Linked DNA regions of Canis lupus familiaris. The protein of the gene in region 1 purifies or fractionates together with the protein of each later gene. This does not show direct contact. Links are inferred from orthologs where the notes say so. Each region holds a gene or a part of one and is shown in the gene's direction. Other genes may lie near its edges.

What was found.
Region 2: the proteins of MECP2 (region 1) and GTPBP4 purify together in Homo sapiens (affinity purification with mass spectrometry; 3 studies listed by BioGRID and IntAct, counting the BioPlex papers as one, with this or other methods). This does not show direct contact. The link is inferred for Canis lupus familiaris from reciprocal best matches to the Homo sapiens genes MECP2 and GTPBP4.
Region 3: the proteins of MECP2 (region 1) and TBL1XR1 purify together in Homo sapiens (co-immunoprecipitation; 3 studies listed by BioGRID and IntAct, with this or other methods). This does not show direct contact. The link is inferred for Canis lupus familiaris from reciprocal best matches to the Homo sapiens genes MECP2 and TBL1XR1.
Region 4: the proteins of MECP2 (region 1) and DDX56 purify together in Homo sapiens (affinity purification with mass spectrometry; 3 studies listed by BioGRID and IntAct, with this or other methods). This does not show direct contact. The link is inferred for Canis lupus familiaris from reciprocal best matches to the Homo sapiens genes MECP2 and DDX56.
Region 5: the proteins of MECP2 (region 1) and KPNA4 purify together in Homo sapiens (affinity purification with mass spectrometry; 3 studies listed by BioGRID and IntAct, counting the BioPlex papers as one, with this or other methods). This does not show direct contact. The link is inferred for Canis lupus familiaris from reciprocal best matches to the Homo sapiens genes MECP2 and KPNA4.
Region 6: the proteins of MECP2 (region 1) and KPNA3 purify together in Homo sapiens (affinity purification with mass spectrometry; 3 studies listed by BioGRID and IntAct, counting the BioPlex papers as one, with this or other methods). This does not show direct contact. The link is inferred for Canis lupus familiaris from reciprocal best matches to the Homo sapiens genes MECP2 and KPNA3.

Annotation. Positions count from the first base shown.
Region 1 is NC_049260.1:123,060,166-123,065,310, reverse strand, and holds MECP2 (methyl-CpG-binding protein 2), read left to right. Parts: upstream 1-1,749; 5' UTR 1,750-2,002; coding exon 2,003-2,100; intron 2,101-3,689; coding exon 3,690-4,773; 3' UTR 4,774-4,906; downstream 4,907-5,145. UniProt on the Homo sapiens protein: Chromosomal protein that binds to methylated DNA. It can bind specifically to a single methyl-CpG pair. It is not influenced by sequences flanking the methyl-CpGs.
Region 2 is NC_049223.1:33,008,084-33,013,024, reverse strand, and holds the start of GTPBP4 (nucleolar GTP-binding protein 1), read left to right. Parts: upstream 1-1,934; 5' UTR 1,935-2,043; coding exon 2,044-2,091; intron 2,092-3,023; coding exon 3,024-3,194; intron 3,195-4,941. UniProt on the Homo sapiens protein: Involved in the biogenesis of the 60S ribosomal subunit. Acts as a TP53 repressor, preventing TP53 stabilization and cell cycle arrest.
Region 3 is NC_049255.1:40,988,883-40,993,795, reverse strand, and holds the start of TBL1XR1 (F-box-like/WD repeat-containing protein TBL1XR1), read left to right. Parts: upstream 1-1,426; 5' UTR 1,427-1,520; intron 1,521-2,141; exon of another isoform or gene 2,142-2,160; intron 2,161-4,913. UniProt on the Homo sapiens protein: F-box-like protein involved in the recruitment of the ubiquitin/19S proteasome complex to nuclear receptor-regulated transcription units. Plays an essential role in transcription activation mediated by nuclear receptors.
Region 4 is NC_049237.1:14,117,837-14,122,984, forward strand, and holds the start of DDX56 (probable ATP-dependent RNA helicase DDX56), read left to right. Parts: upstream 1-1,673; 5' UTR 1,674-1,774; coding exon 1,775-1,834; intron 1,835-1,911; coding exon 1,912-2,073; intron 2,074-2,516; coding exon 2,517-2,677; intron 2,678-2,849; coding exon 2,850-3,020; intron 3,021-3,097; coding exon 3,098-3,188; intron 3,189-3,730; coding exon 3,731-3,975; intron 3,976-4,297; coding exon 4,298-4,417; intron 4,418-4,982; coding exon 4,983-5,096; intron 5,097-5,148. UniProt on the Homo sapiens protein: Nucleolar RNA helicase that plays a role in various biological processes including innate immunity, ribosome biogenesis or nucleolus organization. Plays an essential role in maintaining nucleolar integrity in planarian stem cells.
Region 5 is NC_049255.1:26,745,520-26,749,924, reverse strand, and holds part of KPNA4 (importin subunit alpha-3), read left to right. Parts: intron 1-817; coding exon 818-889; intron 890-2,239; coding exon 2,240-2,402; intron 2,403-4,405. UniProt on the Homo sapiens protein: Functions in nuclear protein import as an adapter protein for nuclear receptor KPNB1. Binds specifically and directly to substrates containing either a simple or bipartite NLS motif.
Region 6 is NC_049243.1:2,071,713-2,075,581, forward strand, and holds part of KPNA3 (importin subunit alpha-4), read left to right. Parts: intron 1-795; coding exon 796-890; intron 891-3,412; coding exon 3,413-3,511; 3' UTR 3,512-3,869. UniProt on the Homo sapiens protein: Functions in nuclear protein import as an adapter protein for nuclear receptor KPNB1. Binds specifically and directly to substrates containing either a simple or bipartite NLS motif.

The DNA of each region.
Region 1 (5,145 bases):
ACTGTGTGGGAGTGGTCATTCCAGTTCATCTGCCACTCTGCTGCTGGCAAGCTCCCCTTCTCCCCTCTGTGTTGGGGGACTACAGGCTATAGGCCACACCAAGCTTCTCAGGATTCTTCCTCAATTCCTGCTGAAAGGCTAATAAGACTGTGATAATTGAAAACTAAGCTCTGTGCTGCAACAGATTAGAGACCCTCACTTTACAGCAAGAGAAGATCTCCTGTGGGCCGTGGGCTAAATCAGGGTCACCATGGCAGCCATGCTTTAGAGTCCTGAGCTGCTAAAGGATGACCCAGGATAGGGAGGAACTCAGGGACAAGCCTGTCTCCCAACCCCTGACCTGAGCTGTTCAGAAAAGGCATGTTCTCATGGTGCCAAGAGTCCTGATACTAACCCACCTTTGGCAGCTTACTGACATCATTTGAGTCTGGTTTCCAGTACATACCACAGTGCCTCCATTGGAGTCTCCACAGTGTGAACAAGGGGGTTGCTTGGGGTAGACTGGCCATGAGGCAGTGACCAGTGCTGACACGAGCCACATGGGACAGGGCAGCTCTAGGGCTTAGATATCAAGGGCAGGAATAGTCTCATTCTCTTCTAGACTGAATTGCTGAGAGACCAGCAGATGGCTGGTTCCAAGCCTCCCCAGCGTGGGTGGTGTTCCTGCCCTCTTAGCCCTGCTTTAAGAACACCACGGGCGGACTGATTCCAGGGTCCAGGGCCTTTCCAGTGCACACAAGGAAGGGACCCTACCAGGTGGAGCCAAAATAGCAGGAAGGAGCTGCTCTGTCAGTGTGAAAGCATAAGGAGGTGCCCACCCTGGAGTGGGGAGGGTGCTCTTCTGTGCCTTTGTCCTTGCTCTCCCCTTCTACTGGTTGAGTGTAAGGCAGTCATGGCTTGTAAAGGAATGTCTGATAATAAAAGTTTAGCAGACCTGGGGTGCCTTCTCCTCACTCCAGAACCCTGGGCAGCAGTTTCTGGTTGCCCGAGTTGGCTAGTGTTTATATGGTGCTTTTGTGACTTTTCTTCCTCTGGGGTGTTGGTGCCTATTACCAAGATGAGGAAACTAAGGCACGGAATGTTGAGGTCACTTGCTCAGGTCCATGTTTAGAAGTTGCCAAGTCAGAATTTGAGCTCAGGTTGGGCTGGCTCCAAACCTGTGTGTTTTCTCCACAGCACTGTGCTGTGCCTTATCTCCCAAGGGGGTAGTGCTAGGCTCTGCCACCATCAGTAAGTTGCATCGTGCTCCCTGACTGTTTTATCAAGCACACATTTGAGAAAACTTACAATACAGAAGCTATACTAACACCCAAGCCAGGTCTTTCGTGAAGAGGAGCCCTGGCCACATTTTGGGTGGGCAGCTCCCTCTCCAGTAGTCAAGGGCCTCTTGTCAGCCATGAAGTCTAGAGACTGTTGGGCACAGCTTGTAAAGTGGCCTCTTCCGAGGCAGTACACTGAGAAGCCACCTAGTGTTTCTACCCAGAAAAATGCCGCTCATTCTCCTGCTTGTTAGGAGTGGGACTTGGGACAGAAGGACTCAGAGTGGTCACAGTGCAGGTAGGGTAAAGCCCAAAGCCCCCAAAGAAATCTTTGAAGGAGAAAGGCATCAGGATCTGGGTGAGCATCGGTGGGGCAGCCCTGTCTCTCAGAGCCCTGCCTGTGCTGGGGTGCCCCAAACCCGCCATTGCTTACTTTTTCTACAAATCGGTGTGTTCCCTGTGATACTTACATACTTATTTAACACTTCAGGGAAGAAAAGTCAGAAGACCAGGATCTCCAGGGCCTCAAGGACAAACCCCTGAAATTTAAAAAGGTGAAGAAAGAGAAGAAAGAAGACAAAGAGGGCAAGCATGAGCCCCTGCAGCCACCGGCTCACCACTCTGCTGAACCAGCAGAGGCAGGCAAAGCGGAGACCTCAGAAGGGTCAGGCTCAGCCCCAGCTGTCCCGGAAGCTTCTGCCTCCCCCAAACAGCGACGCTCTATCATTCGTGACCGGGGACCCATGTATGACGACCCCACTCTGCCTGAAGGTTGGACCCGAAAGCTTAAACAAAGGAAATCTGGCCGCTCCGCTGGGAAGTATGATGTGTATTTGATCAAGTAAGTAAGGGCAACTCCTGTCTCTACAAAGCAGGGAAGGCTGGGTGGGCAGGAGGCTGGGGCCAGGTGCTGAGAAACTAATGGGGATCCCTTAGAGTGGCAGCTCTTTTTTTACTCGATGATCAGGAAAATGTGTGTATATCACCCATCTTGGGCTGGGGGTGGCTTCAATAATGAACACCACTTGCAGACCCCTCCAGGTATGTTTCAAATGACTGTGTACAGAGTTCACCGCCCTGAGTGTGACTTTACCCCACCAGCCCTTGAGGTCTTGTCTGGAGATGGCATCGCAGTAGGGCCTACCCAGGGCCACAGTGAGGACACAAGAAAGAGAGGTCGCCTGAGAAACATTGAGGACACAAGGCCCTGCCCAGGCTGGTCCCAGAGGCCACAGGACCTGCCATGTGTAGTGGCCTGTGCTTGGAAGGCAAGCAGGGCTCTCTGGGTTCCTCTCATTTCCCAGCTGGGAAACATCCAGCTGATGGGCTCTTCTCAGAACCTGTTAAACAACTCTTCTTTCTGTCAGTCATTCCGTGACTTGGCTGCATGACCCAGAAGAAGTAGGAGTTCAGAGGGCTCAGTCTACTCTCTGAATCATGTTGGGAAAGGTGAGCTCTCTGACAGGGCCTCTGGGGACACATTGGTGTCTCTTCATGTGCCTTTCCAACTGTCATTGGTGCATTTGTCCAGCTTTGAGCTGGTCATTGGGCATTTTCTATTGAAACAGTGTAATTCAGGGATCCCTGGGTGGCGCAGCGGTTTGGCGCCTGCCTTTGGCAGAGGGCGCGATCTTGGAGACCCGGGATCGAATCCCACGTTGGGCTCTCAGTGCATGGAGCCTGCTTCTCCCTCTGCCTATGTCTCTGCCTCTCTCTCTCTCTCTGTGTGACTATCATAAATAAATAAAAATTTAAAAAAAAAAAAAAAAAAAAAAAAAAAAAAGAAACAGTGTAATTCCCAAGCCAGAGCTTCAGAGAAGGACTGAATAAATACATTTCAGTTCTGGCCCTTAGATGATCCAGAAAAGATAAACAGTTTATTTGCAGACATCCTCATTTGATCGCAACAACTCTGAGAAGGGTGAACAAAAAGCATTATCCTACTGACAGATGAGGAAACCGATCCCAGAGAGGCTAAGCAGCATGCCCAGGTTCAGACAGAGAGGAGTGCTTTACTTACTGACTGGGCCCAGGCACCAACCAGCAGAATGCCTGCCCCTCAGCCTTCTGGCTCAAGCGGGTCTCCAGGCCAGGCCCCTTTGGGAGCCAGAGGAGGGGCCTTGGTGGTAGGCGGATCCTCAGGGGCAATAGCTGCAGAGCAGCTGACACCCAGCTGTTCTTGTCACTGGAGCACACCCTGTGGGTGCTCTCCGCCGCCCAGCAACCCAGTTGCTTTGTGTGTGACCATGCCCCTCTAATTTCAGCCCATTTTGGCTTTTCTCTAATGTGACTCTCATTGAATAGTATCATCAGGCAGGTCAATTGCAGAACGTCCTGTCACAGAATTCAGCACATTCTTCCTGCCCCATCTTTGTACATTAGCGGGGAAGCTTCTAATCGTTCTTTGTGTCTCTCCATTTGTTCCCACAGTCCCCAGGGAAAAGCCTTTCGCTCTAAAGTGGAGTTGATTGCGTACTTCGAAAAGGTAGGCGACACCTCCCTGGACCCTAATGATTTTGACTTCACGGTAACTGGGAGAGGGAGCCCCTCCCGGCGAGAGCAGAAACCACCTAAGAAGCCCAAATCTCCCAAAGCTCCAGGAACTGGCAGAGGTCGGGGACGCCCCAAAGGGAGCGGCACTGCGAGACCCAAGGCAGCAACATCAGAGGGTGTGCAGGTGAAAAGGGTCCTGGAGAAAAGTCCCGGGAAGCTGCTCGTCAAGATGCCTTTTCAAGCTTCGCCCGGGAGCAAGGCTGAAGGGGGCGGGGCCACCACGTCAGCCCAGGTCATGGTTATCAAACGCCCAGGCCGGAAGCGAAAAGCCGAGGCTGACCCCCAGGCCATTCCCAAGAAGCGGGGCCGAAAGCCAGGCAGTGTGGTGGCAGCTGCCGCCGCAGAGGCCAAAAAGAAAGCCGTGAAGGAGTCTTCCATCCGGTCCGTGCAGGAGACTGTGCTCCCCATCAAGAAGCGCAAGACTCGGGAGACGGTCAGCATTGAGGTGAAGGAGGTGGTGAAGCCCCTGCTGGTGTCCACCCTCGGCGAGAAGAGTGGAAAGGGACTGAAGACCTGCAAGAGCCCCGGACGGAAAAGCAAGGAGAGCAGCCCGAAGGGGCGCAGCAGCAGCGCCTCCTCACCCCCCAAGAAGGAGCACCACCACCATCACCACCACTCAGAGCCCCCGAAGGCACCCGCGCCGCTGCTTCCGCCCCCGCCCCCTCCCCCACCTGAGCCCCAGAGCTCCGAGGACCCCGCCAGCCCCCCTGAGCCCCAGGACTTGAGCAGCGGCGTCTGCAAAGAGGAGAAGATGGCGAGAGGAGGCTCGCTGGAGAGCGACGGCTGCCCCAAGGAGCCAGCTAAGACTCAGCCCACGGTCGCGACCGCCGCCACGGCCGCAGACAAGTACAAACACCGAGGGGAGGGAGAGCGCAAAGACATTGTTTCATCCTCCATGCCAAGGCCAAACAGAGAGGAGCCTGTGGACAGCCGGACGCCCGTGACCGAGAGAGTTAGCTGACTTTACACAGAGCGGATTGCAAAGCAAACCAACAAGAATAAAGGCAGCTGTTGTCTCTTCTCCTTATGGGTAGGGCTCTGACAAAGCTTCCCGATTAACTGAAATAAAAAATATTTTTTTTTCTTTCAGTAAACTTAGAGTTTCGTGGCTTCAGGGTGGGAGTAGTTGGAGCATTGGGATGTTTTTCTTACCGACAAGCACAGTCAGGTTGAAGACCTAACCAGGGCCAGAAGTAGCTTTGCACTTTTCTAAACTAGGCTCCTTCAACAAGGCTTGCTGCAGATACTACTGACCAGACAAGCTGTTGACCAGGCTTCTTAGGGTATGCCTGCACCTCCCCTCCCACCCAGACCTCCCCCCACCCCCCATGTG
Region 2 (4,941 bases), on another chromosome or scaffold:
CGGGCTGTCCTCGCCTGTGGGCCCTGCCGTCGGGGTGCCGGGCCCTGACCCCGCAGCCCGCCCGAGGGGCTGGGGGCGGCTGCAGCGGGGCTGCTCACGCTTTGGTTCTCAACAGGGGGAGCGGGCGGGGGAGGGGCAGGGGTCACCGGCCGCGGGGACCAGCGAGGGCCGAGCTGTGAGGGGTGGGGGGAATGTGAGGCGGGGAGAGGGAGGCGCTGCGGGGGTCGGGAGGCGGTGCAGGGGGGCGGGGTGTGAGGCGGGATGGGGGAGGGGGGAGACGGTGCGGGGCGGCGGGATGTGGGGGGGGGCGGCCGTGCGGGGATCGGAGTATGAGGCAGGAGGGGGAGGGGGAGGCGCTACGGGGGTCGGGAGGCGGTGCAGAGGGCGGGGCGTGAGGCGGGACGGGGGAGGGGAGGCGGTGCGGGGGGGGGCGGGGCGGGGTGTGAGGAGGGAGGGGGCGGCCGTGCGGGGACTGGAGTATGAGGCAGGAGGGGGAGGGGGAGGCGCTGCGGGGGTCGGAGGGCAGTGCAGGGGGGCGGGGCGTGAGGCGGGATGGGGAGGCGGTGCGGGGGGGCGGGGTGTGAGGCGGGAGGGGGAGGGGTGAGGCGGTGCGGGGGGGGGCGAGGTGTGAGGTGTGAGGCGGTGCGGGGGGGCGGGGTGTGAGGCGGGAGGGGGAGGGGAAGCGGTGCGGGGGGCGAGGTGTGAGGCGGGAGGGGGAGGGGAGAGGCGGTGCGAGGGGGCGGGGTGTGAGGCGGGAGGGGGAGGGGTGAGGCGGTGCGGGGGGGGGCGGGGTATGAGGCGGGAGAGGGAGGGGAGAGGCGGTGCGGGGGGGGCGGGGTGTGAAGCGGGAGGGGGAGGGGAGGCGGTGCGGGGGGCGAGGTGTGAGGCGGGAGGGGGAGGGGTGAGGCGGTGCGGGGGGGCGGGGTATGAGGCGGGAGAGGGAGGGGAGAGGCGGTGCGGGGGGGCGGGGTGTGAGGCGGGAGGGGGAGGGGAGAGGCGGTGCGGGGGGGCGGGGTGTGAGGCGGGAGGGGGAGGGGAGGCGGTGCGGAGGGGCGGGGTGTGAGGCGGGCGGGGGAGGGGAGAGGCGGTGCGGGGGGGGGCGGGGTGTGAGGCGGGAGGGGGAGGGGAGGCGGTGCGGGGGGGCGGGGTGTGAGGCGGGACGGGGAGGGGAGGCGGTGCGGGGCGGGGGGCGAGGTGTGAGGTGTGAGGCGGTGCGGGGGGGGCGGGTGTGAGGCGGGAGGGGGAGGGGAGGCGGTGCGGGGCGTGGCGCGGGGGTATGTGCGGGGAGCCGAGGCCCCGCCGCTCGCCGCCGCCCTACCGTCCCCGTCCGCCTGTCCCTGCGCCCCGGGCGCCCCGTCGGAGCCACGCGCTCTGGGCTCCGGAGTCCTGGGGGTCAGGGGTCGGGGGCCGGGGGTCGGGGTCGGCGATCGCGCATCCTCTCGCGGGCCGGGAGGCCGAGACGCCCCGGAGTCCCGCACGCGGGCAGGTCACGAGTGACGGCGAACGCGTGCGACGGGGAGACGCCGGCCTGGGGCGCCGGGTCGGGCCGAGCGGGCGGGGCTGCGGGGAGAGCTGGGCCGGCGCGCCCGGGGGCGGGGTCCCGCAGGGCAGCCGGAACCTCACGGCAGGGTCACGGGGGTCGGGGCGCCCAGCGGGCGAAGGCGCTGCGCGGACGCGGGCCCCAGGGCTTATCCCCGCCCCCGCCCGCCCCTGCTGACCGCGGCCTCCGCCTCGCTCCCCATCGGATTCCCCGCCGACACCCCGGCGCCCCGACGCCCCGACCCCCGAGTCCTCCGGGCTCCCCAGTTCCCGGGCCCGTGACCCCCAGACACCACGTCCCCCGAGGACCCCGAGCTCCGGGTCCCCGCCCCGCAGGCCTGTCCGCCCCGCCCCGGTCCACCCGCCCTCCGCCCCCTGGGACCTCCGGCCGGGAGGGGGCGCCGTGACACCCGGAAGCCGTGCCCGAGGACGCCGGAGCGCCCGGAAGTGACGCGCATCCGGCGGAAGTCCCGCCCCCACCGTCCCGCGTGGCTGGCAGCCGGCATGGCGCACTACAACTTCAAGAAGATCACGGTGGTGCCGTCCGCCAAGGTAGGCGGCGGAGGGGCGGGGCGGGCTGGGCCTGCGCCTCGGGGGCACGGGGTCACCTCCAGCGCCCACCGCTCTTACGCCACGTAGTCTCCGGACTAGGGCCGCCTGGCTTAGCGGGGCCCCGGGGACGCGGAGGGGCCTCCCTCGGGTCGGGGGTTCCTCCCTCGGGGTCCTGGGTCCCTCCTTCGGGTCGCGGGCTCCTGGTCCCCCCCCTCGGGGTCAGGGCTCCCCCACCTCGAGGTCCTGGGTCCCCTCTCGGGGCCACGGGTCCCTCCCTAGGGTCCTGGTCCCCGCTCGGGGGTCACGTTCCTCCCTCGGGGTCAGGCCCCCCCTGGGCTCGGGGGTCGTCTCCAGGGCCGGGTCAGCCTGGGTCCTGTGCGCAGGGCCCTCCCCCCAGAGGACGGGAGGTGCGGTAGGGTCCCTCGGCCCCGCCCGGCGGGCCACGGGGAGGCGGGGGGGGAGGGCCGTGCCGGCTCCAGCAGGACCCCGTCCCGGCCTGACCGCGGGGGCGCTTCAGGCGAGACCCTGTGTCCTCGCGGCCGCTGCGATCTGGGAGACCACCGAGCGGGTGTCAGTCTTACTGACGTCCGTGTTTCCACAAAGACCTGCGAACTGAAACTGCAGGACTTGTTTTCCCTCCGAGTGTTTTTCTCTGACTTACGCTTCAGGCACCGGACTGCAGGGGGAGGAGCCTTGCTGGGAAGACGGCCTGGAGAGGTTAAGGGCGGGACTGGTCCTGGCAGCCAGCTGCTAAGTGGTTTTTTATAGGCTTGAAACTATGAACGCGAACGGAGTTGAATATAAGAAATTAAAGATATAGTTAGAAAACCGTAGTTCCACACACGGTACCGTTGGTCTTCTAAGAGGGTTTCAGATGAACAGGTAAGAAGCAGACACTTCTGCTGTACCTGCTGTGTCTGATTTGGTTGCAGGACTTTATCGACCTGACCTTGTCGAAGACTCAACGCAAGACTCCGACGGTCGTCCACAAACATTACCAAATCCACCGCATTAGACATTTTTACATGAGGAAGGTCAAATTCACTCAGCAGAATTACCATGACCGACTGTCGCAGATTCTAATGGACTTCCCCAAGTTGGATGTAAGTGCCCCAGGGACCCTGTAGTAAATGGTGTGAGCGTGAGCGTTCAGGTCACCGGTGTCTGCAGCCGGTTCAGGTACTTCCCCGACATGCACACCCGTCACACTTCCTGAGTTGGTGGCAAAGCTGGGCACAGAGCGCAGGTGTTTGGATTTCTGTCCCACAGCCAGAGCCCACGTACGGGGGTCCGGAGCCGTGCTGCAGGCCTTCCCTCCAACCAGCTCAGCTCTCCCAGAGCCTGCACTGCGCCTGGCGGCCTGCCAGCGGGCGTGACCTTCCTCCCTCCCTGTTGGCAAGGCTCTTTCTCCCGTGGTCTCAGGTCGTGTCCGTGGTGCGAGGTCCGCCACTGATCATGCTCGGCTCCGCATGGGCCTCTTTGTGGTCTGGGGGCGGGGGGGGGAGGGGGGCTACAGTCTGTGCATTAAGCTAAAACAGTTGAAGCCTTCCCGGCGTAGTCAAGTTTGCCCGTTGACGGAGCCGGAGAAAGCGAGGGCAGGCACTGCGTGTGGGGTCGCTGTGCAGGTCACACCGCTGCAGGGTGGTGTGAGGGCAGGTCAGCAGTACAGGGGGCGAGCCTGCATTTGCCACTGTCCCAAGATGGCCCGCAAAGCTAGGTTAAGGCAGAGGGGACGAGTTCCTTTAAATTTTTTTTTTTTTAATTTATGATAATCACACAGAGAGAGAGGGAGAGAGAGAGAGGCAGAGAGAGAAGCAGGCTCCATGCACCGGGAGCCCGATGTGGGATTCGATCCCGGGTCTCCAGGATCGCGCCCTGGGCCAAAGGCAGGCGCCAAACTGCTGTGCCACCCAGGGATCCCTCCTTTAAACCATTACAGGTGTGCTTAAAATAAGAGCGGAGATTGTGCTAGTCAACCGGCCTGGCATGCCACAGGTGCTCGCTAGAGGCCGCTTGAACACGCGAAAGCTTTTGGGGAAAGGGTGAGAACCCTAGAAGTTACCTGGGAAGAAGCACGAGAGAATCTGCAGCAGGCTCCGTGCTCAGCATGGACGTGGGGCTTGATCCCACGAGATCATGACCTGAGCTGAAACCAAGAGTCAGGTGCTTAACCGACGGAGCCCCCAGATACCCCCTCACCCACGTTTTTTAAGCTGAGAAGAAGATTAGAGTAGCTGCGCTCGTGCAGTGATTGACGTGTCTGGGTTCTGTTCAGGCCCTGGGAGCACGACAGCCATTAAGACCCGGGCAGTGGAGCAGGGTGGCGGAGGGAGAGTACCAGGGCTGGGTCGGGCGGATGTGCGGGCCAGCTGGCTGCTGCAGGGCTGCCGCAGGGCATGAGTTCTGTCCTTAGGCCTTCCAAGTTGAGCCTCATGCCGCCGAGCGGCCCTTGGGGGGAGCAGACCGCTTGAAGGTGATGCACCGAGTTACACATCTGCGGTGCTGGAGAGTGGAGTGCTTGAGAGGAAGAGCTCGTAGGTCTTCTCACAGGGCGGGTGGCCCGGAGCACCTGCGACAGCAGGGTGGCCATCTGTCCACAGGGGGGCAGGGGAGGCCGGAGGAGGAGGAGGGATCCAAAGTGTGGGTCAGACATCCGCGCAGACGTGCAAGGGGAGGTTTATGAGCGCTCTGGCCTGGAGACGTCTGTGCTCCTAGATCCATGCGAAGTCACCCAGGACGTGAGTGTGGAGAGAGAAGTGCCCCCGGGAACGCTGGTGTTGAGTGTTGGGTGGGAGCACGAGCCTGCAGGAGCAGAAGGTCGGTCCTGGGGGCAGCTGATAGGAAGCATCA
Region 3 (4,913 bases), on another chromosome or scaffold:
ACGTCGGCTCCCAGGACACCTGGGCACGAACCCTGCAGGCCCCGCCGGGCGCTTAGGGGGCAAGGCCAGGCCCTAGCGTGCGCCCCACACCCCGCGGCCCGGCTCCCCTCGTGACCAGCGCTGCTCCGCCGCCCTGCAGGTGCGCCCGGGGCCCGCACCTCCGGCCCGGAGCCCCGCAGCCAGGGCGCCGCGGGCCTGCCCACCTAACTAGCCTGGTCTCCAGGCGGGCCACGCACCCCCGCACCCCCCGCCCCGCAGCTGGCCGTGCAGCCGGAGGCCCGCACCCCGCGCATCCCCCCGCATCCCCCCGCCTGCACCCCATTGGCCCCGCAGCCACCTGCGCACCTCACGGTCCGCACCTATCGGTCCCGCACCCACTGGCCCCACAGCCGGCCGCGCACCCCTTGGCCCCGCAGCTGGCCGCATCCCCACCCCCCACCCCGCACCCATTGGCCCCGCAACGGGTCACAGACCCCCGCCCCCTCGGCCCCGCACCCCACTGGCCCCGCAGCCGGCCGTGCACCCCCCACCTCGCCCCCTTGCCCCACACCCATTGGCCCTGTACCCGGCCCGCATCCATTGGCCCCGCACCCCCTTGCACCCCCTCCCGCCCCGCACCCATTAGCCCCACAACTGGCCTGTATCCTCCCTCCCCCTCCGCCCCCCCCCCCCGCCCCGCACCCATTGGCCCCGCAGCCGGCCCGCACCCTCCCCCCCCATTGGCCCCGCACCCCCGGCCCTCACCCATCGGCTCCGTAACCGGCCTGCATCCCCTCCCCCTCCGCCCCGCAGCCGGCCCGCACCCATCGGCCCCGCAGCGGGCCGCGGCGGCGGGGGCGGGGCGGGCCAGGCCGGGGGAGCCTCGCGGCGCCTGCGGGTCTTTATTCGTGCAGGACTCGGCGGCGCGCCCCCAGCCCCAGCCCCAGCCCCAGCCCCAGCCCCAGCCCCAGCCCCCAGCGTCGGCGGAGGGGCGGGCGGGGCGGGCGGGCGCGAGCGAGCGCGGCGCGGCGGGCCGCCCCCTCCCCGTCGCCCTCCCCTCCCCTCCCCCGTCCGCGGCGCCCCTCCCCCTCCGCTCCCGGCCCCGCCGGCCCCTCCCCCGCGCGCCCGCCCGGCGCAGGCCGCTCGGGTTTGTTTTGCTGAGCGGCCGCCGCCGCCGGGGCCTCGCGAGCTCATTTGTGCCTGGCTGGTCCCCGCCCGCTCCGCGGGGCCGAGCGCCGGGCCGTGGGCTGCTCCGAGCCGTTGGGCTCTCTCCCTCGGTGACGGCGCCCACCCTCGCCCGGCTCCCCGCGCCCCCGCCCGCGCCCGCGCCCCGCGCCCCGCCCCTCCCCCGCGGCGGGAGCCCCCGCCCCGCCCCCCCGGCCCCGCGCCCCCGCCCGCCCGCGCCCGCCGGGGCTCGCAGCGCCGCGCACCCCGAGGGGTTATTTTGGGGGCGGCTGGCGGCGGCGGCGGCGGCCAGGAGGGGACTTTCCGTGCGCCTCGGTTCCCGGGAGGGGGAGCGGCGTCGGAGGCCGGCGTCCCAGGTAAGCGCGGGGGCGGGCGGGCGGGCGGGGGGGCGCGGGGAGGGGAGGGGGCGGGGAGGGGCGGGGAGGGGCGCGCGCGGCCCGGGAGCCCCCTCCCCCGCCGGCCGGAGCGACCCCGGGGCCCGCGCCCCGCCCCGCGCCCGCCCCCGCCGGCCTGGGGGTCCCCGGCCGCCCGCGCCCCTCCCCCGCGCACGGGCCCCTCCTGCGCGTGTGCGCGTGTGTGCGCGTGTGTGCGCGTGTGTGAGTGTGTGTGCGGGGCGGGCGCGGGCGCGGGGCGGCGGGGGAGGCCTTCGGGGAGCCTGTGCGGCAGAGCCGGTGCGGGAGCCATCATGAGGCCGACTCCCGGGAGCCTATTTTTAGCCGAGGAGGGAGCTCTCGGGTGCACGTTCCTCGGTTCGCAGGGGCGCTGTGCCGGCGGCCGCGGGCGCGGGGGGAGGGCGCGGGGGGCGGGGGCGGGGGAGGGGCGGGAGGGCGCGCCCGGGGCGCGGGGGGAGGGCGGGGGCGGGGGCGGGGGCGGGCGCGGGGCCGCGTGCGTGCAGCGGGCGCCGGGGCTGGCGCGAGGAGGCGAGGCCGGGCCGGGCCGGGCCGGGCCGGGAAGTTGGGCTGGGAGCGCGGCCCCGGCGAAGTTGCGGCGGCCCCGGTGAGCGTCGGGCGGCGGGTCCTCGGGACGCGCTGGGGAACTTCCTCCTCGCGGCCCGCGCGTTTCCTTCCTTCCTGGCGTTCGGGCCCCGGCGGACTTTGTGACTGACGCGGCATCGCGGTCCCCGGGCGGCTCGGGAGCCCGTGCGCGTGTTGACAGGTCCGGCTCCGGCACGAGGCCTGCCCCCCCAGCGGCCGCGGCGGCTCGCCCTTGGGTCGTGCGGTGCGAAGGGGCGTCTCCGCAGGGCTCGGGGCGCGCGTGGGGGGCTTCGTGCGGCCTCGAGGGGTGGCCGGGCTCCCGGTACCCTGCTCCGAGGTCTCTTGCGCCAGGCTCCCGGGTAACGCGCCCTCAAGAGACCCCTTGGTGATTGTGAGTGGACCGAGGTTGGGACCTACTTAAGAACGAGATGATTTTTTTCCGTCTCCCCCCTCCCCCCACCCCGATGTCTGGAGTTTACTTAATACTTAAAACCTTGCACTGCGCAGGCACCCAGGTGAGCGGTGGTTTAGGACCTAGTGTCATTCGCAGCCCACTTGGGGGAAGTTCGCCGCGGGCGCTCACGCCGGAGCCCTGTGCTGTTCTCCACGGGCCTGTTAATAAAACGTGGTGGCTGAGAACGACGGGGTTATTTTTAGTCTGAATTGCCTGCCCCCTCCCCCCCATGTAATTAAGTAATCATTTTTCTCCTCCTTTTTTTTTTTTTTTTTTTTTTTTTCTCCTAAAGACTCCTTTATCAGATTGGATAATACAAGGCCCTGGTGGTGTTTTCCTCTTCCTACTAAAGCAAATTATAAAAAACATCCTGGTTAACACACTGAAGGTACAGCAAGTGACTTTTTGGCTCCCCCAGTGTGGTTCATTTTCATTTTCTGCTAAATAAGACCTGTGCTACCCTGGCGTGTTTTAGTGAATCCTTATTTCCTGGGACTCTGTGTTCTCACCATTTTAATAAGTTTATAGTCTAGGGAAATAGGGCAGCTTTGTCTCCATGAAACCTGTGTGTGTTGGGTCGTATCATGGGAGTTGATGGCAGGCAGGCTTCGAGATGATCACTGAGGGTTCCAGAAACAGTTACCGTTTACCTGTGGAAGAAGGGGTGGCTGAAACAAAATATGCCTCAGGGTGGTTAGGCATGTCATGTGTGTTTATACTTTTGCTCTGAATTTGTGCTTTCCTGCCTGTTTGGAATATGATTTTTTTTTCCCTTCCAGTTTTGCTGTAATGCATTGTGTGATGTATGTAACCACAACTGTTACATCTACAAACAACGGCTATTTTTTTTTTTTGTTTGTTTTGTTTGCAATTTGAGTAGTTAGATTCAGACCTATAGGGCAAAACACTACACTGTATGGAGTCCGAAGACCGTTTGTACTTGGAAAAAGTTTTTCTTACTGTTCTGGAACTTAATTAATGGACTTGTTAATGGCTTGAAAATTGTTGCAAAGCTTCCAGTTTATAAGATGCTTTTCTTGTAGCCTGGTGTACCAAAGTTGGTTATTAACACAGGAGACACACGTGGTAAATGATGTGGCCCCTCGTGGAGCTTGAGTTCTTGCACTGGTTGCCTCAAAGAAGCGATCAACATTTTAATGACTTTTTACGTGTGTCCAGGAATTTTTTTGTTTTTGTTTTTGTTACTTGTACTCTCAACATCCAGTGAAGGGTTGTCATGATTCCCCTTCCAGGGGAATAAGAAGGAACCACTTCCTGGGAGCCTTTCAAGCTAATAAGCAGAAAGGGCAAAAGCTTGATATAAATATAGGGGTTACTGATAAAGAGAGATGTGGCTGATGGACCTTTGGAACAACAACCTGTTGAAGACGTATCTGCTCGTACATGGCAGTGAGATAGTACAGCCTTGTCAGATGAGTAGCTGACACAGGCATTCTACTTGTACAAGTTATTCCAACAGAATTACTACAAAGAATTTTTGACTTGACACATTTGGATGAAGTTAGTAGAAGTAATTTGTTGGGTTTATTCAGTTCCTGTGTTTCTTATATAAAAGTTGAGAGGAACGTGATAAACAGTAAGTCAGGGGGCAGATGCCAGAAATACTGGCACCATCCGGGACTGTATTTCTCTAGTACATGTGAATTTGACTCCTTTCATAAATAACTTACAGTGCAAGTCACTGAAATGCAAAAAATAAAGCCCGAAATAAGTAACCATGAGACACGGATACATCCCCACAGTAGAGAAGGGTTAGGACCCGGGGCTGTGTAGTAGAGAATGAGTGAGTGTAACTGGTCCATTTTGGAGGCCACCACGGTGACCTCTCCTGTTTAAACACCAACAGAAACTTTAAAAAAAAAAAAAAAAAAAAAAAAAAAAGGCTGTGAGAGAACTAATGTTGGAGAGGTTTACTGGCTACACCAGCTATGGGATTAGACTCCGGAAGAGTACAGTCAGGCACGGTGTCGGCAAGAGCTAGAGGAAGGGGCCTTGCTTACTTATGCTCTGGAAAGGTGTGAGGCGCTTGCTGTGTCATCTATACCTCAGGCTAATCCTGCGGAGTAGGGAGTGCTGGATTCTGCAGATTATGAAACAGAGGTGCAGAGTTGATCCACTTGTCCAAGCCACAGAACGGTCAAGTGAGGTGTGAGGGTTCAAACCTGGGGCTGTCTTGAACCCTGTTCTCTGCTCTTTCTAGATGACTGTAGCTATGCCAGATTTTTCCTGCTGTTGTCAGTTTTGTCTGTCACTCAACGTCCTTGCAAAAAATTAGTGTTCATAATCAAGTTTATGATTCT
Region 4 (5,148 bases), on another chromosome or scaffold:
GATGTTTTTCTATATATTAGAACTATTTTTTGATAAATTATATATATTTTACTTCCTGGTTGAAGTGCTCCTGCCTGTGTATGACCAGCATTGCAGCCTTGTCTGCATTCTGTGTATCCATACGTTTTAGCTAAGGGCCACAGCAGGGCTCACACCTGACAGGTGCTCCCAAGGCCTACTGTGAGGGCCGAGACTTCCCTGGGACACTGGGATTTCAATCACTGGGCCCCAGAGCGAGGTAGTGCCAGAGCCAGCACAGGCAGGGCCCTCCTACCCTCCCACCTTCCTAACTTTTATTTAAGCTGTGCTAAATGTTTTCTTCACAGGAACCACATTTGGTTCTTCATACAGATTTTTCCAGTGAAATAAAATGTGTTGTAGTAGCTGTGTTTGAGATGAAGTAAGAGGCTGCGGGCAGAGGGGAGGCACGGAGGGAGGTGGAGGAAAGGCCCTTGGCCTTTGCGGGGGACATCAGCAGGCAGGCCCAGGCTGCCAGCTGCCAGGCATCCATGGGTGGGGGAACAGCTGGGCGGTCGCTGGGCCACTCCCAGAGGTCGGCCATGTAGGCCACCGGTGGGGCATCCTTTGAGGAGATACAGTAGTTGTTTCTCAGCTCCTAGGATGGAACTGGAGCATCTTGGTATCCTGCCCTTCTGCCCTTGTGTGGTATTAAACTTGCCCGCTCTTGACTTTTTATTTCATGGTTTTATTTATATTTAACAACATTGCTTATTTGACCTACAGAACTAGCGCTTTCTTTTTTCATACGTGTGTCCTATACCGTTTCCTGTGTGTACCTACTTTTACTCACAAAACGATCTGGAAGTTTGTCTTCTAGGTTTTATCATTAACATTTTTAAAAATATATTTTATTCATTTATTCATGAGACACAGAGAGAGGCAGAGACACAGGCAGAGGGAGAAGCAGGCTGCACCCAGGGAGCCAGATGTGGGACTCAATCCTGGGACTGCTGGATCAGGCCCTGAGCCAAAGGCAAGATGCTCAACCGCTGAGCCACCCAGGCGTCCCTGTCATTAATATTCTTAAAGTATTTTTAAAACTACATGTTCCTTATGTTCTAATTCGGGATGGTGTAGAACAGTCCAACGATAACTGACTTAAGTTTCTTTGAATGTCTATACAATGGTTTTTGATTTCCTTGTTAGAGTAAACACAGGGAGGATGAGGATTAGCTGCGCCTTGGTCTGGGCCCCTGGGATAGGGACCGGTCAAGGCGGAGTTGGGGCGCTGCACCGAGGCTGTCAGGCTGGGGGTGGGGGGAGTCTCGGGCTGGGCTCCAGGGGTAGGGACGGGTCAGGGCGGAGTGGGGGGGCTGCACTGAGGCTGTCAGGCTGCGGGGGGTCTCAGGCTGGGCTCCGGGGTAGGGACGGCTCAGGGCGGAGGTGGGGGGGGCTGCACCGAGGCTGTCAGGCTGCGGGGGGCGGGGGTCTCCGGCTGGGCCCCGGGGGTAGGATCGGTCGGTCGGTCCGTCCCAGGTGTCTGCACTGTCCGCCGGGCCGAGCAAGATGGGCAGAGCCGGCGCAGCTCCGACGGCCAGGCTGGCGAAGGAGCCGCTGGCAGCCGCTGAGCGCGGCACGCACAGACCGACCCCGGACCCCGCGAACCACTGCAGCCGCAGATGCCCGCCCGGACGCCGGAAGCCGGGCGACAGCACTTCCGGGGGGCGGCTCCCGGGACGCTGATTGGTGGTTGCGCCGCTCGCCGTCGGCCCCTTCCTGCCATGCGTACGCACCGGCCCCGCAGAGCCGTAGCATGGCGGACCCAGAGGCGGTGGGCTTCGAGCACATGGGCCTCGACCCACGGCTGCTGCAGGTACCGGGAGGGACGAGCTGCCGGGCCCACGAGCCTGGGGGCGGGGCGCCGCCTGAGCCGCGCGTCGTGTCTTCTAGGCCGTCGCCGACCTGGGCTGGTCGCGACCCACGCTGATCCAGGAGAAGGCCATCCCGCTGGCCCTGGAGGGGAAGGACCTGCTGGCCCGGGCGCGCACCGGCTCGGGGAAGACGGCCGCCTACGCCATTCCTGCGCTGCAGCTGCTGCTCCAGCGGAAGGCGGTCGGTGGGGGCGGGGCGCTCCTGGGGCGACCGGGGGGAGGGACGGGGGGCTCCGGGGCCCCCGAAGGCCGCCCCGGGGTGCGGTGTGTGTGCTCCGCGCTCTGGCCCTGCTCCGGGCGCCGCGGCCGCGACGTGAGCGCTGCCCTGTGTTTTCCGGCTGTAAAGGGCGGACACGCCCCCTCTCGGAGCGTGAGCCGCACCCCCGAGCGCTCCCGCTGCAGTCCGTGCATCCCCGGGTCGCCGCCGAGCCGTGCCCCCTGACGGGCGGTGCTGGGGGAGGGGCCCTCTGTTCCACCCTTCGTTCCGTTCTGGGCTGCGCGGAGGTGAGCGAGGGACTGGTCAGAGCACAGCCAGGGTGGTGGAGCGGAAGACCCCGCGGTTGGGTCAGGTGGCCCTGAGGTCGCTGGCTGGCTGGCTGAAGTCTGTCGTTGGTGCTCTTGCAGACAGGCTTTGCGGTGGAGCAGGCTGTAAGAGGGCTTGTCCTGGTGCCCACCAAAGAGCTGGCACGGCAGGCCCGATCCATGATTCAGCAGCTGGCTTCCTACTGCGCTCGAGACATCCGGGTGGCTGATGTCTCAGCTGCTGAAGACTCAGCCTCTCAGCGGTGGGTGAGAGCCACAGAGCCCTAGAGGGATGACCTGCACGGGGATGCGGGATGGGGATGCGGGATCAGGTTTGCTGGGTTCCGTGCAGCAGGAGGCGCGGCCAGCCTGCGGTGGTGGTGGGGGCATGAGTTGCTGTCTGCTTCCCAACACGGAGGTGTCTGCTGCTTGCAGAGCTGTGCTGATGGAGAAGCCTGACATCGTGGTGGGGACCCCGTCTCGCATTTTAAACCACCTGCAGCAGGATAGTTTGGTCCTGCGAGACTCCCTGGAGCTGCTGGTGCTGGACGAGGCTGACCTTCTTTTCTCCTTTGGCTTTGAGGAAGAACTCAAAGGTCTTCTTTGGTAAGGAAGAGGTGTGTGGGGCTGTGAGTAGACACCAGGGCCTAGGGCTGGGATCTGACAGGCTGTTTTTTTTCTAGTCACTTGCCTCGGATTTACCAGGCTTTTTTGATGTCAGCTACTTTTAACGAGGATGTGCAAGCACTCAAGGAGCTGGTGCTTCATAATCCGGTAAGGGCACTGTGGGAGCATCTGGAGCCACTGGCCTGTGATTGTTAACTTTCCAAGGAGTTCTTTGGTATTTCGGGTGGGGTAGTTGCTCATGTTTTGGAGGTTCTGGAAACTGGTGGCCATCTACAGTGCCGTCTTCTTACGGTCACTGCGTATTTGCAGATATTTGTAGGTAGTGGTTCAAACAATGCTTCTTTACATAAAGGCCTGAATTGGGACCCTCAAGAGTCAGAAAGGCTGCTTTGAGCAGCACAGTCAGAGCTCTCGCTGTACGTGAGCTTGAGTCCTGAGAGATTGCTGCCTTGGGGCTCTCCTCCTCACTGCAGTTGCTTATCATGTGTTTCTTTCTGTTCTGGGCCCCCAGCATGTTGTAACTGTACATTCTCTGTACACCACAGTCAGGGTACATTGAGTCCTCACATCACCTGGTCGGAGGGGACACCAGGTGCTCTGCCCTCGCACGTTTGTGCCCTGGCTTGGACCAGCAGCTGGCAGTTCTGTTTTTTCCTCTTCCCTGACCTCGGGGCACCTACCTCCTGTAGGTCACTCTCAAGCTGCAGGAGTCCCAGCTGCCCGGGCCAGACCAGTTGCGGCAGTTCCAGGTGGTCTGCGAGACAGAGGAAGACAAGTTCCTGTTGCTGTACGCCTTGCTCAAGCTGTCGTTGATTCGTGGCAAGTGCCTGCTCTTTGTCAACACCCTGGAGCGGAGCTATCGGTTGCGCCTCTTCCTGGAGCAGTTCAGCATCCCGGCGTGCGTGCTCAACGGAGAGCTCCCACTGTGTTCCAGGTTTGTCCGCTCTGGCGCTTTGGCTGAGAAGCACTGAAGCAGGGGACTGAGAAGGAGAGACACGGGGGCTGCTCCTGTGTCTAAAGTGGGAGGTAGAGCCCAGCCTGTGGGTTGGGCTTGAGTGCTTCTCATTGGCTTTCTGTGTCACAGCTCTGAGATTCCTGCTGTCACATTGTCTTCAGCTGAGGCGCTGAGGCCTAAAGGTGAAGCAGGAGCAGAGCTGGAAAAGGAAGAGTCAGAATACAGTCGTGATGATGTTGGGGGTCGGAGGGCCCTTCAGCTGGCTTTGGGGGCTGATCCTTTCTCTGCTCTTGGGCTGTAGGTGCCACATTATTTCACAGTTCAACCAGGGTTTCTATGACTGTGTCATAGCGACTGATGCTGAAGTCCTGGGATCCCTAGTCAAGGGCAGGCGTCGGGGCCGAGGATCCCGGGGGACCAGGTGAGTGCTGGTGTTTCCCTTTCGTGGTGCACTGCAGGGAGACCTGTTTTCTCAGCCTTTCAGAAGGTGGTGAAACCAGTGTCCTGAGCAAGGAGTCTGGTGCTGGGGCCTGGCTGCTGACCATGGCCCACGGAGCCCTCGCTCTGTTGCCAGGGTCTAGAGGATAGTGAAGGGTGTGCATGCATGCGCTCTGGGGCAGTGGGAAGGGCCAAGTGTAGTAGATTGTTGGTGAACCGTCCTGCACGTGCAGCTCTGACCCACAAGGAGGAAGGTTTCCCAAGGGATCGGGAGTTCCAGTCTCTGCCTAGCAGGCCGTCTGGCCAGGAATGGATCTGGGGTTGTCTCGTGTGCAGTGGGTTCTGCTCCCCCCCCAGCACTGGCATCAGGGCAATCATTTGGCCACCCTTGTTCAATGGTTACTAAGTGGCCCGGGTTTCAGGGTTCCAAACTATCAGAGTCTTCTAGTCTTGTGTAAGGCTTTATTGAGTGATTTTGCTGATTAAATGGCTTGAGGTTGCAACCTGGAGGGAGGGGGTCAATCTGACGTTGGGACATCTCCTCACAGGGCCTCTGATCCGGAGGCAGGCGTGGCCCGGGGCATAGACTTCCACCATGTGTCTTCTGTGCTCAACTTTGACCTGCCTCCCACCCCTGAGGCCTACATTCATCGAGCTGGCAGGTGGGAGAGCGGGGGCGTGGTGTGCAGGCGCGGGGACCATGGGCTTCAGGCC
Region 5 (4,405 bases), on another chromosome or scaffold:
GATATCACACTGCAATATTGATTTTTATTCCTCATATAAGTTTTTTCTTAATTATAAGCATTTTCCCAGGTTACTAGTCTAATTTGTATTTAACAACTGGTTATTATTCCATTCAGCAGATTCATCATAATTAGTCATTTATTCCACTGCTGAGAATTCTACTTGCTTTTACTTTTTGACTAGTATGTAGTACTACGATAATATCTAGAAGGAAAGAAAATATTACTTTGTTTTAAATTATTTTCTTGGTAAATTCTTAAAGATTCTCATATATTATTTGAGAACCTCATATGATTATTAAATATTACTTTGAGAACCTCATGATTATTAAATGTATTACTAAATAAATTACTAAATCATATATGATTTTAAATGATTTTAAGTGTACTTTTTCAGTTTATATTTGAAAGGTAATATAGGAGGGTGATGTTTTTATTATATCATCTTATTAATGGTGGACATTTTTAAAACTTTGTGTTTAAAAGGTTACATTTCTTTGATTAAAGTGAAGTGTACATTCTCCTTCCCCCACCCCCTTTTTGGGTTTTGGACTACTTTTATTTTATCACTGACTTCATTTAATCTGATTTAATTGAACAGTAATACCAAGTCACTTTGTTGCCAGGAGAGTTTGCAAAGGGGAGTCTACATTTGTTTAGGGTAAATTGAATTCAGAAACCTTCCTTAAGTAAAAAATTATGTATGCACATAGAAAGGTTAGAAAAAACTTGGGAAAATAAGCAGTTGAAAATCATTTCAGACAGCATTTTTTCCCCTGTTTACACTGTGTTGCAATTTGTATTCTTTGCTTTTACAGGGGGATTTTGGCACCCAGAAAGAAGCTGCTTGGGCCATAAGTAACTTAACAATTAGTGGGAGGAAAGATCAAGTAAGTTCAACTCTTACTTATTTCTCAGAACTGGTAAAATAACATACATAAAAATTCTAAATTCTAAGATTTAGATTTCAGTTAAATCATAATTTAAAATAATAGCAAGATAATAGGCATTCTGTGATTCCCGCCCCGCCCCCCCATATAAAAGTGTTACCTTGACTTCTTAGGTTACATTTCATAGATGAGAAGTGTTCTCTTTATACCATCTTGGCCTACAAAAATTTTCTAATCCATGGTAAGATCAAAACATATGTAGTCAAAATATATTTGGTTTTTAACAGTATTAGGGAAAAAAACAGGACTTTTTAGCTTAATAGAATGAAACAACATCACAGATTCTCATAACAAATGAACATAAACAACAAAAATTTACCAGCAGCAAACAAAGCAAGGAACTAATGTAAACCAAAAGGCTGGAACTAGAGCAGCCCTGGTGGCTCAGTGGTTTAGCGCCACCTTCAGCCCAGGGCCTGATCCTGGGGTCCTGGGATCGAGTTCCGCGTCAAGCTCCCTGCATGGAGCCTGCTTCTCCCTCTGCCTGTGTCTCTGCCCCTCTCTCTCCCTCCCTCTCTCTCTCTCTCTCTCTCTCTCTCTGTCACTCACGGATAAATAAATAAAATCTTAAAAAAAATAAAAATAAATAAAAGATTCCAGGTAAATTTCACAGATAAGGTAAAAAGAGTGAATTTAGAGCTAATAAACAATAAGCTGATAATTGTCACAAATAAGCTATAGACTGATGGTGAGCAATGAATCCACTTAAATATGAATAGAGAGCAGAATATAAATATATAGTACATGGAAATGACAATATAACAAAATATAAAAATGAAAGAAAAATATTATGAAAATATTATAGAACCAGTTGAATAGTGAATTGAAAGTAGCCAGGTATTTGAGGATTCTAAATGATACAGCATTCTCACATTGGATACTATTATGTTGAACAATGGTTCCCTTAAAAAAATGGTTCCCTTAAAAAATGGTTCCCTTATCATCCAGCCTCTACAGATGTCATAATTTCTTAATCTTAAAGGGGAGGAAAGCATCTTTGAAGAAAGTATTCCTTATGGCAGATGTTTTGCATGAGGTTAAGTGATTCCTTCATTATCACTTGTTTTTTCCGAAGTTCAAGAAAAGTAAACATTACATTAAAGGAAGGAATCTCATAGTAAAATAATCTAACAAGAAAATAATAAAATTATCTAATGTAGTCTAACATAACGTGAAAAATGAGGTCATGTTTCTATACTCAAAACTTTAAAGTCAAAATTATTTCAGTGTGATCATATGGTGCGCACAGTTCACTGATGTTTATTATATCATGGTGTTTTTATTCTTCAGGTGGCCTATCTAATCCAGCAAAATGTTATTCCACCTTTTTGCAACTTGCTGACTGTAAAAGATGCACAGGTTGTGCAAGTAGTACTTGATGGACTAAGTAATATATTAAAAATGGCTGAAGATGAGGCGGAAACCATAGCCAATCTTATAGAAGAATGTGGAGGCAAGTGTATTACAAGCTATTATTTCACAGTTTTAATGTTCTTTTTGTAACTACTTTTTATTTTCTGACTAATGTAGCACCTCTGTATTTTCTGTCTTAGATTATCAAGTAACAGAATAAAGTAAATACTATATTCTATATGTACAGTCCTGCTCAGCTTCTTGCATATGCTTAGGTAACTGAATTGCTGCCCTGTATTTGAAATAGGCACTGTGCTAAGGTACTGGGAAAACAGTGGTAAACAAGACACAGTCCTTGCCCTCAAGGCATGTAGTCTAGTCATGGAGATAAATATGAACTGATTTAATGTGCTAATTACCCTAATAGAAATGTACAACAAAATGAAATACCTTATCCATCCTGGAAGAAGCAGGAAGTGACACCTGAGCTGGATTTTGAGAGATGAATAAGGATTAATAAAGTAAAAAGGGATGAAAGGTGTTCCAGGCAGAGACACCATGAGCAAAGTCTGAGGTGAGATCTAGCATTCAGCAAATTATAAGTAGTTCAGTGTTGCTGAATCACAAAGTATGGGGTAGACACTGCCTAAAGATGAGGCTGGAGATACAGCCAGTAACCAGGCCCCTGCCGTCTTACAAGCTTTGTAGCACAGCAGATTCTTTATTCTGTAAGGCCATAGTTCCCAAATCTGATTCTGTGCCAGGGCCACCCAGAATGTAAATAGCATGTCTTAACTTTCAGCTTTTAGAATTAACCATGTAGATAGAACATGGTAGTTTCAATTGTAGCTGTGGAACAAAATGTAAATGTTACCAACCTGGATAAGCATAAAAGGAAAGGATTTCTGACAGATGTGGAGAAGTAAATGAAAGGAGAAGTAACTTAAGAGTAGGAGGACCATATCTTCAATTTGCTTAATGGAGGAGTTCAGAGGCTTGAAAGAAAGAAGTATTTTTAAAGTTACTGAAGTAACAAATAGAGCAACAGAAAATAATTCATAACTATCAAGTTAGGAATAGGAGATGGAGAATAGAGAACCTAATTAGGAAGTTGAGTACCAGTAAATAGTTAATATACTTTAAAAGTTTTTACTGTTTTTTCCCATGTAAACATTTTAATTATTAAAAATGTAATTTTTATATATTAAAATACAGATCTGAGCCTTGCCTTCATCACTGTAGGTAAGGCCAAGAATCTGTATCTTATAAACACTCCCAATGAATTCTGCCTCAGGGTATTACAAATCATTTAAAGATTTTATCTGAGGGATTGGTATGTTTAAATGGAGCAAGGATATCAGGGAAATGGGACCATTGGAGAAAGAGGCAGGAACCAGTTAGGAAAGTATATAGTGATAAGGGGCCACAATAAATGATGACAGGATTCAAGGAATGGATAGTCTTACAGGTTTTTGAACAGATTTGATGATAGAGTATTAAGGGGAACTTATTAGGTTTTCTCTCAGATTTCAAGTTGTTTATTATCATCAAGTAAGAATACAGTAGAATAAATAGTTTAATTGAAGAAAGGCAAGTAATAAATTATGTTTGGACATTTTGAGCATTACATACCCATGAAATATCTGGTGGAATTATCACGCAGGCATTTTAATTTTATGCTTCTGAAGCTCAGAAAAAAGTCCTCACCCTATTATAGTGGCTTAATTCTTTTGTTTAAGATTTTATTTTTAAGCAATCCCCAGACTCATCATGGGGCTCAAACCCACAATCCCGAGATTAAGAGTTGCATGCTCCACTAAGTACCAAGCCAGCCAGGCACCCCTGTCTAAATACTGAAAGTGTGGGCCCACTAAGTTGAATGTGTAGAGTGAGAAATGAGCGCAAAGCAACTTCTCCATGTAAGGAATAGATAAAGGAAGAACACTCATGAAAGGGCAGTTTCACTTTACTTCAGAAGCCTTAAAATTATTAGTCCTATAAAACGAAACAAGATGTAATTTGCAAATCAGTTATGTTTATATATTCTTTTTAATGTTTCTGCCTGTGATTTAATAAACTTATGTTTATAGGAACAATTCCTCT
Region 6 (3,869 bases), on another chromosome or scaffold:
AATTTTATAAAGAACTTTACATCCATTATCTTTGATACTTATATTCCCATTTTTCTGGTTTTTATATTACTATATAAAGAAAAAATGCAACTATTTCAAACTTACCTAGCTAAAAAGATATTTCAAGGAAGAGTACTGTTAAGAATTTAAATTTATAGACTTGTGCATCTAATGCATCGAGTAAATATATTGGGAACAGAAATGAAGGCATTCTACAGTTGTGAAAAGTTGTTTCCCAATTTCATTGTGGCTATAGGATATAAGCACCCTATTTGATTTTTTCTTGAAAGAAATTACTTCAAATTTAAAGCTTTGTCTTCTGTTTATATCAGTTAATCATGAAGTTTCTGAAAACTTGTTTTATAAAAGTAATAACATTTGGAAAACAATGGAAACATTAAAAACTACTTATACAAGATAATGTGCTTCCATTAAAACGGTCTGGGGAGGCCTTGGTTCAAGTTCAATCACTAACTTGCCACACAACCCGAAGTAAACCCCTTACATCTCTGGATCATAGCTTCCTCATCTGTCAAATAGAGCGTTTAGGTGGATTTTTTTAACTGTCTGCCTCAGATACCAGGGTACCTCAAGGGTTTCTAAGAGGAAGAAATTCGTGAGATGCTCGTCCTCAACCAGAGCAGCCCAGGGTTTTATCTGTTTTTTAGAAAACTCATCTTTGGGTAATGGTGGGAAGGTATTCTGAGTTCTTTCAGATTTTCCATTGTTAGTATGAACACAGTTTTTATATGTGTATATGCCTAAGAATCTGATTTTGTTCGTTTTTATTACCAGGTTTGGAGAAAATCGAAGTTTTACAGCAACATGAAAATGAAGACATATATAAATTAGCTTTTGAAATCATAGATCAATATTTCTCTGGTGATGATGTAAGTATACATTAAAGTATGGTATGCCTGCATGTACATTAAAATATGTACATACTCTGGGGGATCCCTGGGTGGCGCAGCGGTTTGGCGCCTGCCTTTGGCCCAGGGCACGATCCTGGTAGACCCGGGATTGAATCCCACATCGGGCTCCTGGTGCAGGGAGCCTGCTTCTCCCTCTGCCTGTGTCTCTGCACCTCTCTCTCTCTCTGTGACTATCATAAATAAATAAAAAAATTAAAAAAAAAAAATGTACATACTCTAAATTTACTAAGAATTTTCCTTTTATCATTAATAGGACAATTTTATAATATATTTCTATCAGATACTCTTGAAGTGGCATTTCCAGTTATTTTTAATCTAAAAAAATTAATGATTATTTTCCATCAATCATTTGTTTAAATACTGTGTATGTAACATCATTATAAAGTAAAAATATAAAAACAGTTCTTTGAAGGGGCACCTGCTGGCTCATTCAGTAAAGCATGAGACTCTTAATCTTAGGGTTGTGAGTTTGAGCCACACCTTGGGCATAGAGATTACTTTACAAATGCAATAAGAAAAAAAAATTTTTTTAATCTGTTAAATGGGAAGAAATACTACAGTTGACTCCTGAGCAACAAGTGTTTGAACTGCAAAGGCCTACTTATAGGTAGAATTATATATATATATATATATATATATATATATATATATATATATATATATATATAATTATTATATTATAATATATAATATATATTATATATATTATTATATAATATATAATTTTATATATATATATATAATTACCAAACTATCAAATAATCAAATAGGGTGTGTGTGTGTATGTAAAAAATATATATATCAAATACAGGTATATGTATGTAAAATATATATATATCAAATATAGGTGTGTATACACACACACACAGTACAGTACTATAAACGTATTTTCTGGAGCTCCTGGATGGCTCAATCAGTTAAGCGTCTGACTGGCTCAAGTCATAATGTCAGGGTCCCAGGATTGAGCCCCATGTGGGGCTCCCGACTCAGCAGGGTGTCTGCTTGTATCTCTCCCTGGCCCTTCCCCCCATTTGTGTTCTCTGTCTCTCTCTCAAATAAATAGAATCTTTTCCAAAAAATGTATTTTCTATTTCTTATGATTAGTAACATTTTCTTTTCTCTAGCTTACTTCATTATAAGAATATAGTATTTAGGGACACCTGGGTGGCTCAGCAGTTGAGCGTCTGCCTTCACCTCCGGTCGTGATCCCAGGGTCCTGGGATCGAGTCCCACATCAGGTTCCCTACAAGGAGCCTGCTTCTCCCTCTGCTTGTGTCTCTGCCTCTCTCTCTGTCTCTCTCATGAATAAATAAATTAAAAATCTTTTAAAAATACAGTATTGGGGATCTCTGGGTGGCTCAGCGGTTTAGCACCTGCCTTCAGCCCAGGGCGTGATCCTAGAGCCCCAGGATCAAGTCCCGCATCGGGCTCCCTGCATGGAGCCTGCTTCTCCCTCTACCTGTGTCTCTGCCTCTCTGTCTGTCTCATGAATAAATAAATAAAATCTCTAAAAATAAATACAGTATTTAATACATATAATGTACAAAATATGTTAACTGTTTATATTATTGGTAAGGCTTCCGGTCAACAGTAGGCTATTAATAGTTAAGTTTTGGGAGTCAGGAGTTATACTTGGATTTTGGACTCTGCTTTGGGGAGGAGATTGGTTTCCCTAGCTCCTGTGTCGTTTAAGGGTCAACTGTAATTATAGAAATGATGTGTGTTGAGATGAGTAAAATAAATCTACAGATACAGAAACTTAAGAATGAGGCATGGATGAGGGAGGAGGTAAAAAAAAAAAAAAAAAGAATGGAGCAATTTTTATATGTGTTCAGTTTAATTAAATTGTTAAATTACTGGGGGGACTTGGATGGCTCAGTTGGTTGAGTATCCAACTCTTGGACTCTTGATTTGGGCTCAGGTCCTGATCTCAGGGTCGTGAGATTGAACCCCCATGTTGGGCTCCACAGTCAGCAGGGAGTCTGCTGGAGATTCTCTCCCCCTCTGCCACTCCCCCCACTCATACCCACTCTCTCTCTCTCTTTCTCTCTCTCTCTCTCTCTCTAAAATAAATCCTCAAAAAAAAAGTTAAATTTATTAATATTATTATTGATTTACTTGTTTTTATTTATTGATTGAAACATAGAGAATAATTACAACAGGAGCACCTGGGAGGCTCAGTTGGTTAAGTGTCTGCCTTCGGCTCAGGTCATGATCTCTGGGTCCTGGGCTCAAGCCCTATGTGTGGCCCCTGCCTATCCCTCTCCTCTCCCTGGGGAGCCTGCCTATCCCTCTCCTCTCCTACCCCCCCCTCCCTGCTCATGTTCTGAAACTCTTTCTGTCAAATAAATAAAATCTTCAAAAAGAAGAAAGAATGATTACAACATTTGTAAAGAATTCTCTCATAAGAAGAAAGATTTGCTTATACCACATCTAGTATCTTAACATAATAAGGATATTTTTTGTGTGCTTTTTTATAGATTGATGAAGATCCTAGCCTCATTCCCGAAGCAACACAAGGAGGTACTTACAACTTTGACCCAACAGCCAACCTTCAAACAAAAGAATTTAATTTTTGAGTTCAGTTGAGTGCAGCATCTTTCCCAATTCAGTACGAAGCACCACCAGACGGCTACCAAATGACAAGAAGAACAACAAAAGGCTCCAAAACACACATGCCTCTTCGTTTTGATGCTTCTAAAGCAAGCCATGTCTCAGTCACTTTGCAGTTGCCAAAAGTTACTATCACATGGACTGTAAATGCATATGCATGATTTCCTAAACTGTTTTAGAATTCTCCTTAACAATCTCAACTACCCTATTTTTCCCTGTTCCCGGGTGCCACACGCTGACAACTGCAGTCTCCAGTTTAGAATATTCCGTAGCGGTGGCATGTCAGCTGCCCACTTGATATTCCTTTGGAAAACGGTGCGCTGT